Linked DNA regions of Callithrix jacchus. The protein of the gene in region 2 interacts with the protein of the main gene of each other region in a biochemical or structural test. Links are inferred from orthologs where the notes say so. Each region holds a gene or a part of one and is shown on either strand. Other genes may lie near its edges.

Evidence for each region.
Region 1: the proteins of BCL2 (region 2) and PMAIP1 interact in a biophysical measurement, tested with the Homo sapiens proteins (2 studies listed by BioGRID and IntAct, with this or other methods). The link is inferred for Callithrix jacchus from reciprocal best matches to the Homo sapiens genes BCL2 and PMAIP1.
Region 3: the proteins of BCL2 (region 2) and NR4A1 form a complex in vitro, tested with the Homo sapiens proteins (2 studies listed by BioGRID). The link is inferred for Callithrix jacchus from reciprocal best matches to the Homo sapiens genes BCL2 and NR4A1.

What each region holds. Positions count from the first base shown.
Region 1 is NC_133514.1:102,886,338-102,890,618, forward strand, and holds the start of PMAIP1 (phorbol-12-myristate-13-acetate-induced protein 1), read left to right. Parts: upstream 1-1,475; 5' UTR 1,476-1,669; coding exon 1,670-1,727; intron 1,728-4,281. UniProt on the Homo sapiens protein: Promotes activation of caspases and apoptosis. Promotes mitochondrial membrane changes and efflux of apoptogenic proteins from the mitochondria. Contributes to p53/TP53-dependent apoptosis after radiation exposure. Promotes proteasomal degradation of MCL1.
Region 2 is NC_133514.1:106,292,010-106,296,087, reverse strand, and holds the start of BCL2 (apoptosis regulator Bcl-2), read left to right. Parts: upstream 1-1,269; 5' UTR 1,270-2,166; intron 2,167-2,389; 5' UTR 2,390-2,672; coding exon 2,673-3,260; intron 3,261-4,078. UniProt on the Homo sapiens protein: Suppresses apoptosis in a variety of cell systems including factor-dependent lymphohematopoietic and neural cells. Regulates cell death by controlling the mitochondrial membrane permeability. Appears to function in a feedback loop system with caspases.
Region 3 is NC_133510.1:67,441,054-67,444,998, reverse strand, and holds the start of NR4A1 (nuclear receptor subfamily 4immunitygroup A member 1), read left to right. Parts: upstream 1-1,139; 5' UTR 1,140-1,334; coding exon 1,335-1,428; intron 1,429-1,650; exon of another isoform or gene 1,651-1,873; intron 1,874-3,945. UniProt on the Homo sapiens protein: Orphan nuclear receptor. Binds the NGFI-B response element (NBRE) 5'-AAAGGTCA-3'. Binds 9-cis-retinoic acid outside of its ligand-binding (NR LBD) domain.

The DNA of each region.
Region 1 (4,281 bases), about 3.4 Mb from region 2:
CATTTTTGCAATATATTTTGAAGGCCAATTTAAACCAAACACTTCTAGAGAGTCCATGCAACCAAATTGCAATATTTCCATTAAACAGTACAGCTAATATGAAAACACACATTTTTTTTTTTCCTTTTCTTTTCTGAGGCTGTCTTATTTTGTCGCCCAGGCTGGAGTGCAGTGGCGCGATCTCGGCTCACTGCAACCTCCGATTCCCAGGTTCTAGCGATTTTCGTGCCTCAGCCTCCCAAGCAGCTGGTACCACAGGCGTGCGCCAACCCAAGGCTGGCTAATTTTTTGTATTTTACAAAGACTGGTTTTGAACTGCTGGCCTCAAGTGAACAAGCCTTCTCGGCCTCCCAAAGAGCTGAGATTACAGGCGTGAGCCACCGCGACCGGAGAAAACACACATTTTCCAAGAAACTGATTGCTGGGAAGGCTACAGTGGATAAGAGCGCTTGCTCTCTGTGGGACTGCGTGGGTCGGGATCACGGCAGTGCTCTTTGCCTATGTGAACTTGGGCAATTTTCTATAAATCTGTCTCGGCACCTGTAAAGTAGCGACGGTTACATGCCAAAGCTCTTAGCACGGAGCGACTCCCAGTAACCGTTAACTATTCCTAATTACCTCCTCATAATAGTAGACTTACTCGGGGCCTCGCCAAGTGTTGCATTAATAATTTCACTTTTCCAGGTAGCTCATCCCTCCCACAAAATATCTGAACGTTTTCCATATGATAATGATCCACTCGTTTTTGCTAAACATCCAGAATGGGCGATATCGACCTTTCTGGAAGGACACACACAAACCCCTTCCCAACTCAAACACGAAGTTCTTTCTGCCTGGCACCAGGGCTCGCGTTCGCAGTGACTTCCCGGACCCCGGCGCCTTCTCACAGGGCCTCTGGCTTCTCCTCTGCCGCGATTAATGTTCTCCTCATTTCCCCTCCCTGCTACTGCGCATACTCTCCAAGTTCGAAAAGTTTCCTTTTCCAATCTCTTTCCGGGGCTTGTTTACCCAAGTCTCTCTCTAATTGTCCAGGCGCCAGGTCTCTTCCCACCCACCAGCTTTCCTCCTGGGAATATCCTTCCCCTCCCGCCCCTCTCAGCTCCCGCCACCACTGCCGCGGACGACGTCCCGCTTTTGCAGATGCTCAGGCCGACCCTCTTCTCCTCCCACTCCCGTTTTGTAAGGAAGTAATTTGGGGCCCAACAGGGTCTCGCCCGCCGAGCGCTCAGCATCCCCCGCCGCGGGTCGGCGCCGCCGCGGGTCCGGAGCGTGTCCCGGCAGGCCGCGCTCTATGGGGAACTTCCCCGCCTGCCCGAACTTTCGAGCCAGCCGGGACCCAGTGTTTGCTCCAGAAACTCAGTCCGCGGGGCCCGGACAGGGGCGGGGACAGGGGGCGGGCCCGGCGTGAAGTTTTCCTACGTCACCAGGGAAGTCCCCCGCGGGAACAAAAGCACGGTCTCTGGCGCTGGGACCTCACAAGTTCCCTGGCACTCACGGAGTTCGCTCGTCAGCTCCGCGCGTCCGGCCACCCGATCCCGCCATCAGATCCCGCTACCCCAGCCTGCGGGTCTGTTCTGTGCGGCTCGCGTCCTGCGGACGTCCGAGGTGCCCCGGGCGGAGGCTGAGGCTCCCAGGCTCCGCAGCTGAGTGGGCTGCGGCACCGGCAGAGATGCCTGGGAAGAAGGCGCGCAAGAGCGCGCAACCGAGCCCCGCGCGGGCTCCAGCAGGTACCGACCCGCTGGGGCCCGCGGGGACTCAGGCCGGGCGGGGTCGGGTCCGGGGTCGAGGTATCGGTCGGGGCGGGCTCCGCCCGTCTGGGCTCGGGCACACACTGTCGGGGGCCCAAGGTCGGGCCAGGTCTGTGCCCGCGCGCCAGCCTTAGGGGCGCCTCCAGGAAGTTCTACAGGGGTTTTCCCCAGCCTCACTGGGACGACGAGAAGCCGAGCCCTATTTGGGATTGGGATGTAGCTGCGTCTCACCAGCGGCAAAAAGCTCCTGGCCTCCTCTCTTTCCTCCTCCCCACTTGCCCTTCCCCGGGGTCACGAGGAAAACAAGTGCAAGTGTATGAGGCTGCCTCTAGGAGAAAGTCATTGTCGCCGCAGAAGGGGCAGGAGAGGGCTCCGGGGACCGCCTGGACTCCTGGCGCTTCCAGAGACGGCCCCACAAGGGACCCTGTGTTCGGAGCTTAGAAATTCTAATAACCTTTAAATAATCGGTATTGTGGGATAGGAGAATAGGTGTTGATCCCTCCCTTTTTTCATTCATCCATTTCCACTCCCCGCCCCCATTCATACTTTTCAGGCCAGCCCCCCACCAGCCCCGGGTCCCATCCTTTTTATAAATCTAATCAGAGAACCCATGGTTCTGCCCCGGACCCACAATCTCTGGGGCCGTACTGCTGTTGCATCAGACGATTAGACGCCCCCGACCCGCCCCCCCCCCCACTTTTTAAGTTACTTTCATTTTATAGAGTTCGTGGGGCGTGCAAAGGAAGTGGTGCATTGCAAATGTGCCCATGCCTAAGTTGGTAACAGGCTGCTGTCTCTGCCTCTTGTGTAAGACGGAAAAAGCTTTGTCTACGTTTTGTGATGTCCAAGAATTCTGACCATGTTTTCTTGCCGAAGGATCTGACCTGTGCATAGCACTTTGTGGTTTGACTTAATTTCCAAGAACAAGAAGCAGCACAAAGTCCCTCTTAAACTTGATTTGATACTAATATGTTTATAGGTAACTGCGATTTTTAAAAGTTAAGGAAACAACTGGGAACTATTTTCTGCCTTTTTTTCTACTTTTTTGGTGAGACGGATACAGGGCTTCCAATGTTGGGTGCTGAATGGTATTGGTTTTTCTTTTAGAACTGTGTATTAATGTATCTCAATCTCTGTCGACAACATGTCTATGTAAATACTTCTTATATAGGCCGGGTGCCGTGGCTGACGCCTGTAATCCCAACACTTTGGGAGTCTGAGGCGGGCGGATCGCGAGGGTAGGAGATCAAGACCATCCTGAGTAACACAGTGAAACCCCATCTCTACTAAAAATACAAAAAATTAGCCAGGCGTGGTGGCACGCGCCTGTAATCCCAGCTACTCGAGGGGCTGAGGAAGGAGAATCTCTTGAACGCGAGAAGTGGAGGTTACAATGAGCTGAGATTGCGCCACTGTATGGGCGACAGAGAGAGACTCCCTCTCAAACAGCAGCAAGAACAACAACACAAAACTTCACAAAATGTTTGATCTTGTAGCCCATAAAGAATAACGTCTAATGAGATTTATTAGGTCTCTTGGTGTAGGGGTTAGGAAGGATTTCACTCAGCTCTTGTAGAGAGAAATTAGTTGAAATGTAGGTTTAAAATTTTGCTTTACTATGTACTTACAGTTATTTATTTTGAGCCTAAATGTGGTCTTTTCGGGGTCGATTATAAAATAGGCCATATTTTAATTTGTAATCATGATTTTTCATGTATATAATCATGAAGTAGACCCAAAAGACCTCAAGCTGCTCTTTGAAATAGTTAAGAAAAATTGAAATTATCGTCAGTATAGGTGTGATATTATAGTCAGTATAGTGTTAATTGCACTTACTGAACAAAGTGTACTTGGAAATTATAGGCATTATTTTTCTTAATATTCATTTAGAATAACTCAATTCCAAAAAGTAGGAAACATGTGAATTAAACATTACTTGTTTACTGCTCCTCTCATGTCCATAAAGGCAATGGATTGGTACAGAATGGGGTTGTAGGAAGAAGTGGGCTTACATTAAAATAGAAATATTTAAATTATTTTAGAGAATGTAGACAATTTTAGAATACGATTTTATGAGTCTTCTATGAGAAAATATCAGAGTTTTTCAGTGAGAAAAAGAATACATTTAGATTTGCCTATATAATGAGAGTGTAACCTAAGTTGTAAATTATTGCCATTTGAAAACCAAATCCTACTTGAAATCCACACAGAACTTGACTTCTGTTCCCCAGACAACCTTAAATGAAGGCTAAGAAGATGACATCATCTGAGGCTGGTAAAATGACTAATGTTACTCTTTGTAGTATTTGCCATATTTGAAGGTAAAGGTAACACTTGCCTCATCCAGGATGTATTTAAAAATAATTCAAAGTAAATGTCTTTATTTTATTTTATGGATTGCTGTTGGTGAGTCACAATGTGTGTGTGTGTTTGTCACATTTGGAAAACAGGTGCACATAAAGCCGAAGTTAAGAGAAATGCTTCCTGGGTTACTCAGTTTGTCACTAGTATGGGCATATTAGGTCTTACTGGT
Region 2 (4,078 bases):
AGTGTGGATGTGTATATATCTGCGTACATCATTTGAGAAAGTGCGGCCATCTAGGATTGGCTACAAGGCAAAGGTGGAGAAAGGTGGAGACCTTTAGGAGCCCACCCACCCCAGCGTTAGGACGGTGGGCCCGAAAGTTACTATGCAGAACTCTTCAGCGTGCAGCCCTGACCCAGTGCAGAACGTGTTAGGGACAGAGGAACAACACGGACTTAAATTATTTTAAAGCCCTTGATAACCCCTCGCTGGCTCCTTCCGTGGAGCGCTGAGTTCTGCCTGGCCTTGGCCACGTACTGGATATTCACGGGGACACCGGCGAGAATGCGCGCGCGTGTGTAGTGCGCCGACACCTAGTAATCCACTTGAAAGTAAACACTACGCTGGGGGCGTCCCTGGATATTGCTTAAAACGTTTCAGAGTCGCCTGTTTTCACCGCAGGGCAGAGCTAAGGTCCCCCTGCTTGGGGGTGGGGGGTGGGGGTGGCATTGGCCTGGGTCTTCCCCCGGGGGCAGAGCGCGGGTAACATGGCGTGTGTGTGTGTGTGTGTGTGTGTAGGCGCGTGTACACACACACGGCTAGAAAGGGTCCAGGCGACACACACACACACATACACTCACTCTCTCACTCTCTCTCTCTCTCTCTCTCTCTCTCTCTCAGTCGGCTAGAAAGGGTCCAGGCGGTTCCCGGCGCTTTTCCAGCCCTTGTTTTCATGGCGCACCCTCCCGCCAGCCGCCCCCCTCCGCTCTCCGTCGCCGGCCGGGCCGCGTGCGGTTCCCCGGCAGCCCCCACCCCCTCGCGGACCCCGAGGTCCGCGCCCGGCCCTCCACAGGCCTGAGCAGAAGGCCCGCTCACACCCACCGCGCCGCGGCCGCGCGGGAGGCCTGCGCCGCCCGCGCAACCCGCGCCACCCACCGGCCGGGCCGGGCGAACGCAGCGGAACGGGCGGGTGGCCGGCCCGGGTGCGCCCTCCCCGGTCGCGGCCCCGCGCGCCATGTGCCCCCGGTGGGGTGCGCCGCTCCCGGGCCCGCCGCGGCGCCTTTAACCCGGGCCAGCGAGCGGGGCGGAGGGGGCGGTCGGGCGGCTCAGAGGAGGGCTCTTTCTTTCTTCTTTTTTTGAATGAACCGTGTGACGTTACGCACAGGAAACCGGTCGGGCTATGCGGAGAATGAAGTAAGAGGACAGACACCCCCGCCCCGCGCCCGCCCCCTTCCTCCCGCGCCCGCCCCTCTGCGCCGCCAGCCCGCCCGCCGCGCCGCCCGCTCGCCGCTCGCCTTGGCCCCGCCGCGCCGCCGCCGCCGCCGCTGCCAGCGAAGGTGCCGGGGCGCCGGGCCCTCCCCGCCGGCGGCCGTCTGCGCTCGGAGCGGGCTGCGCGGCGGGAGCTCCGGGAGGCGGCCGCAGCCAGCGCCGTCGCGCAGGAGCAGGAGGAGGAGAAAGGGTGCGCAGCCCGGAGGCGGGGTGCGCCGGTGGGGTGCAGCGGAAGAAGGGGGTCCAGGGGGGAGAACTTCGTAGCAGTCGTCCTTTTTAGGAAAAGAGGGAAAAAATAAAGCCCTCCCCCACCACCTCCTTCTCCCCACCCCTCGCCGCACCACACACAGCGCGGGCTTCTAGCGCTCGGCACCGGCGGGCCAGGCGCGTCCTGCCTTCATTTATCCAGCAGCTTTTCGGAAAATGCATTCGCTGTTCGGAGTTTAATCAGAAGAGGATTGCTGCCCCCGTCCCCGGCTCCTCCGTCGTCCCCCCTCCCCTGTCTCTCTGCCGGGGAGGCGTGAAGCGGTCCGGTGGATAGAGATTCATGCCTGTGCCCGCGCGTGTATGCGCGCGTGTAAATTGCCGAGAAGGGGAAAACATCACAGGACTTCTGCGAATACCGGACTGAAAATTGTAATTCATCTGCCGCCGCCGCTGCCTTTTTTTCTCGAGCTCTTGAGATCTCCAGTTGGGATTCCTGCGGATTGACATTTCTGTGAAGCAGAAGTCTGGGAATCGATCTGGAAATCCTCCTAATTTTTACTCCCCCTCCCCCCGACTTCTGATTCATTGGGAAGTTTCAAAGCAGCTATAACCGGAGAGTGCTGAAGATTGATGGGATTGTTGCCTTATGCATTTGTTTTGGTTTTACAAAAAAGGAAACTTGACAGAGGATCATGCTGTTCTTAAAAAATACAAGTAAGTTCTCTGCACAGGAAATTGGCTTAATGTAACTTTCAATGAAAACATTTGAGAATTTTTACTTAAAGTGCATTCGAGTAAATTTAATTTCCAGGCAGTTTAATACATTCTTTTTAGCCGTGTTACTTGTAGTGCGTATGCCCTGCTTTCAGCCAGGGCATACAGGAAAATGCACCTGATTTTTTTAACTTATGAGTTTGTTTCTTCTTTAACCTTTCAGCATCACGGAGGAAGTAGACTGATATTAACAATGCTTACTACTAACGTGCCTCATGAAATAAAGATCCGAAAGGAATTGGAATAAAAATTTCCTGCGTCTCATGCCAAGGGGGAAACACCAGAATCAAGTGTTCCGCGTGACTGAAGACACCCCCTCTTCCAAGAATGCAAAGCACATCCAATAAAATAGCTGGATTATAACTCTTCTTCTTTCTTTGGGGGCCGTGGGGTGGGAGCTGGAGCGAGAGGTGCCGTTGGCCCCCGCTGCTTTTCCTCGGGGAAGGATGGCGCACGCTGGGAGAACAGGGTACGATAACCGGGAGATAGTGATGAAGTACATCCACTATAAGCTGTCGCAGAGGGGCTACGAGTGGGATGCCGGAGATGTGGGCGCCGCGCCCCCAGGGGCCGCCCCCGCGGAGGGCATCTTCTCTTCCCAGCCCGGGCACACGCCCGGTCCCGCCGCGCCCCGGGACCCGGTCGCCAGGACCTCGCCGCCGCCGCCCCCAGCCGCCCCCGCCGCCGCCGCCACGGGGCCTACGCTCAGCCCGGTGCCACCTGTGGTCCACCTGACCCTCCGCCAGGCCGGCGACGACTTCTCCCGCCGCTACCGCCGCGACTTCGCCGAGATGTCCAGCCAGCTGCACCTGACGCCCTTCACCGCGCGGGGACGCTTTGCCACGGTGGTGGAGGAGCTCTTCAGGGACGGGGTGAACTGGGGGAGGATTGTGGCCTTCTTTGAGTTCGGTGGGGTCATGTGTGTGGAGAGCGTCAACCGGGAGATGTCGCCCCTGGTGGACAACATCGCCCTGTGGATGACCGAGTACCTGAACCGGCACCTGCACACCTGGATCCAGGATAACGGAGGCTGGGTAGGTGCACGTGGTGATGGGAGTCTGGGCTGAGGCTGCAGGTCCGAGATGTGGGGGTTGGAGTGCGGCGGGTGGGCTCCTGGGGTAAGGGGAGGCTGTGGGGCTGGTGAAATAAAATCAGGGTTGTTGCTTCCCGGCGTCCATAACCTCTTCCTCTGGACAAAGTGTTCTTTCCCAACCTGAGTGATGACGCCTGCCCTCTAAAAGTCTTTAACTTGCTCGCTAGTTGAGGAGGTCCAGTAGGATGTGGTGGTCAATGGTACCCCTTCAGTGTTTCTCGAGCTGGAGGTCCAGGAGTCCCCAGGACCACAGTTTCCTGGCCTGAGCAGCTTGTTGGGACCGGAGGGAGGTTTCAGGGCCTGCTTATGAACCAGATGCCAGGTTGGGTCTTGACAGTCTGCATCCTAAACAAGCTCCCCTGAGACACGCCCCTGGTGCACTTAAATTTGGGAACACCCCAATGAGAAGAACAGACTCCACAGAAGACTAAGGGTACGCTTTTTCTAACTCGGTAAAATTTTCCAAAAGAGGAAAACCAACCTGAGTCCCTTTCCCTGGAAAACTTAGTTGTGTTTGTAAAGAGCTAAATTGACATTCCAAAGTCCTTGCACTGGAATCTCCAGTGTGTGCCATATTTCCAGTGGGCGTGACGCAGTGTCTTGAGGGGTATTGGTCTATGGCTTTGCTACCTCGTCAGTGACAGAATTTGCATCGGCTGCATTCTTTATGTTCTATAATTTGTGTATGAGTTACTAATTCACTAGAATGTTGTTAGAATCTTTTGTTTTTCACTACCTAGAGTCGACATAATTTTGTGG
Region 3 (3,945 bases), on a different chromosome or scaffold from region 2:
AGCTGCTGGGGGAGAAGGATTTGCTAAGGAGAGGATGGTTCCCCCCAATCCCACCCAGTCAGCCCCAACCCCATTGCTCCAACCTTGGCCTGCCTGGCCTTCCTGACCAGCCACTCCTGAGTGGGCAGCTGCTGGGGGAGAAAGATTTGCTCAGGACAGGATGGTTCTCCCATTTCCAAAGACGGCTCCAGTCACGTCGGAGACAGGAACATTCCAAGTGCCTGCAGCCCCAGGAAGATTCTTACCGTGGAAGCCTGGGCCTGGAGACTCTGGTTAGGCGAGGGTGGGCCTCCCAGGGCTTCCTGGCCACGGCGGTGGGCCACTGAGAGCATTAAGCACTCTTGTGGACTGGGGAGAGCAGGGAGGAGAACCAGCTCCGAGGGTATACTGTGTACAAGGCACCTCTGCAGCTGTTATTGTCCTGACAACCAGAAAGGGTGGATAATCGGACATATCATCTTCATTTTAGAGCTGAGGAAGCTGAGGCTCCGAGAGGTCAAGCGACTGCCCTAGGCCACACAGTGGCATGGGAGCAGCCAGATCAGTGAATCCATCACCTGGGCTTTGCCGCGGCCTGCTCCCGCTCCTCGGGAAGTGCCCTCTTCAGGAGAAATCTCACCCTCTGAGGAAGTCGTTTTTTTCTATAAGCTGCCTTCTCGTGTGGAAGCTGGGTGCCCTGCTACCTGGGATTTTTTGTTCTTGGGGTGGCATGAAGGCCAAGCGATGCAGGCAAGGCGCCCGCAGACTCAAAGGCCAGGCCCTGTCTTCGCGAGCAGACGAATTGCTGTGTGACTGTGGGCCGCCACCGAGCCTCTCTGAGCCTCGCTCTTTCCACTTCTTCCTGGGGAAGCCCCAGGTAAGTTTATTTATAACCTAGCCCCGGGTGCGCCGCCTCGGGAGGTGTGAGTGAGGCCTCGGTTCCCTCACCTGAGAACCAGCTCCCCGGCTCCGGCCGCAGGAGGCGGGTTATGTAACCGGGTGTGCGGCGTGGGGGGAGCCGCGGGGCGGGGCGCTCGCGGCTATTCCGGGCGCCGCTATTTTTAGCCCCATTGATGAGGCTGCGTCGGCCGCCGCCGCCGGGATTCCGGAGACGTCAATGGGCGCGCGTCACGGTCCCCGCCCCTCCCGCCGGGGGAGGTGCGCCGGGGCTGGGGCAGAGCGCGGGCGGCCGCGGGCGCGGGGGCGGGGAGCGCGGTGCTGCCGGAACTGCGGGCGGGGGGCTACCCGGGGGCGGGGGGCGCCGAGCGGCGGCGCGGCTGCAGGAGCGCGAGGCGGCGGTGGCGGCGGAACTGGCGGGATCCCAGCGCGGCACCCTCGACCCCCGGCCTGCCGGCATGGGCGCCCCTGCGGCGCGGAGCAGCTTCGGGACTGCTGGGGCGCGACCCCGGAAAGCGGGGGTGGAGAGGCGAGCGGAGCCCGCAGGGTCAGGTGAGGGGCCGTCGGGGTGGCTGGAGGTGGGCCCGGGAGAGGCCGGGCAGTCTCGGGGCCTTGGTGGATGCCTTGGGGCGGGCTCGGGGCCATGCCGGGAGTCCCGCTTGGAAACTAGGGGAGTCGGGGAGAGGGACTGGATTCCCAGCGGAACCTCCTGGCTCCGAGTCAGCCCCCAAGAGCGACCGCCAAGGCTTTCTCTCCCCAGCCCGCCAAGGGTGGGGTTTGGCCCACGAGGGGCGCTGGAGGTGGCCAGGCCAGAGAAATTCCTTCCATTTCCCCGCCGGCTGCGGGAACCGGTTCCAGGAGCGCGGGAGCTCGTCTGCCAGGAGACCCAGCCGAGAGGGACCGATGCTGCGCGATGCAGCCCCTTAGCGGGACTGAGTCGAGGAACCAAGGCTGGGGATCTCGTGGAGTCAGGCGGAGCTGGGGCTTAGGACTCGGGGTTCGTGTCTCCCAGGCGTGTTGTTGTTGTTGTTGTTTGCCGCAACATCTTCCCTCCTTACATTGGGTGGGGTGGGGGCGGGTATTTCCAGACCTTCTTACCCTGGTGGTCTGTGTTGAGGGCCCGGGGCACAGTTCCTTGACTTCTCTCATTCCCTTTTTATGTCTTCATTTTTGATAGATGACCTGGTGGACTCGAGAAATGCTGCAGAGGTGGTTTTCAGTGAATTGTGAATTTGGGTATAGGGCTATATTAGGGGCACATTGGGAAAACGCAGGCTGGGCAGAGGTCGTTAGGTTCCCTACAGTTATGCCCAATGGGTGCTGATGGATTTGGGGGCTGCTGTCGGCCTGGTCTGGGGCCCTAGTGGTGGGGCTACAAGGCTTGCCCCTAGACCTACTCAAGTGAACGTTCTTATCAGTGACTTGGATGAAGACTTAAACAGGAAGTCAGCCAACTCCTTGTAGTCACCCAGAGCTGTGAGGAGTGACACTTACAGTGTGATAACATCAAGATTCTAATTGCAGGCGACTGGGCAGAAGGATGGGCTGAGATTAACAATGTGAATGTGACTGACATCCCGGTTGAGGCCCGTGCTGGACTCAAGAAAATCAGCTGAGGAGTTCAGGCCCTGTGCCTGGCTCAAAGGCCCTTAGCTTCTGACCTGCTCTCTGGACAGAGGCTGTGGGACTGCTCTGTGCAGTGTGTACCCTCCATCCACTACACAGGTCCAAGCGGGTGGCAAGGGGGAGGAAGGATGCTTGATTTGGACTCCTTGGTTGGGCTCCCTGGGTTCTAAACCCAGTTTTGCCAATTCCTAGCTGTGTGACCTTGGACAAGTTGCTTAACATTATAATCCCTTCCTCATAGCATTGGGAGGCTGAAATGAAACAATGTGTCTAAAGTGCTTAACAGTGTATCTGGCACATGTTGTCAGATACACTGTTAAGTGTATTAACTGCTGTTTATTATTATATATATATAATATATATATTTTTATATATTATATTATATTTATACTTATATATATAAGTATATTAGCTGCTGTTGTTATTGCTAATAATAGTAATATGCCCATTTCTGGGTGGGGACATTGGCCAATGCAGAGCTTGTACTCAGGAGGCCACCAGGGCCTGTCAGGCAGAGGGCCTGTCAGTGGTATCCTGTTGCAACAGGCAGTTTAGTTAGGAAATGGCTAAAGTACTCGTTAGGAAGGACTAGAATGAGGCTTCCCACTGGCCAGTACAGGGGGCAAAGCTGGGATCCAGGGCTGGGGAATTTTAGAATCTGGGTTGTGATTCAACATAAGGAAGAAGGCTCTGGCGCTTGGATCTGCCCCCAAAAGGAAGGGATAGCTCTTGAGCTGGAAGGCTCTTCCCTTCTGAGCACCTGCCAGTGCTGAGCAGGGTTTAGAGACTGCAGACTCCGCAGTGATTGAGGGGGACAGCATCCTTAGATTCTGGTTGGTTAGAAAGGTGATAAACCAGTGAACAGATGTGAACACAAGACCTATGGTGAATAAAATTAGGCTAGTGTGGTGGGGTGGGGATGTAGGCCCTTTAGGGAGATGACATGGGAAATGAAACCTGATTGATAAGGAAGAGCCAGTTCTGGGCAGAGGGAATGGCCAGTGCAGAGACCCTGAGTGGGGAGAGAAGGCCCACATGACTGGAGCACAGTGAATGGCTGGGAAATGAAATTGGTGGGGAGCAGTAGCTAAGGACTAAAGTCTGGCCTGATGCTCCACCCCATTTTGGGGGTCACTTGTCCTCCTTTTTTTTTTTTTTTTTTGAGACAAGTCTCACTCTGTTACCCAGGCTGGAGTGCAGTGGTGGGATCTTGGCTCACCACAATCTCCGCATCCTGGGTTCAAGTGATTCTTCTGACTCAGCCTCCCAAGTATCTGGGACTACAGGCGTGTGCCGCCATGCCCGGCTGGTTTTTGTGTTTTTAGTAGAGAAAGGGTTTCACTATGTTGGCCAAGCTGGTCTCAAATTCCTGACCTTGTGATGCGCCTGCCTTGGCCTCCCAAAGCGTGAGCCACCTCGACCAGCCACTTTCGCCTCCTCCAA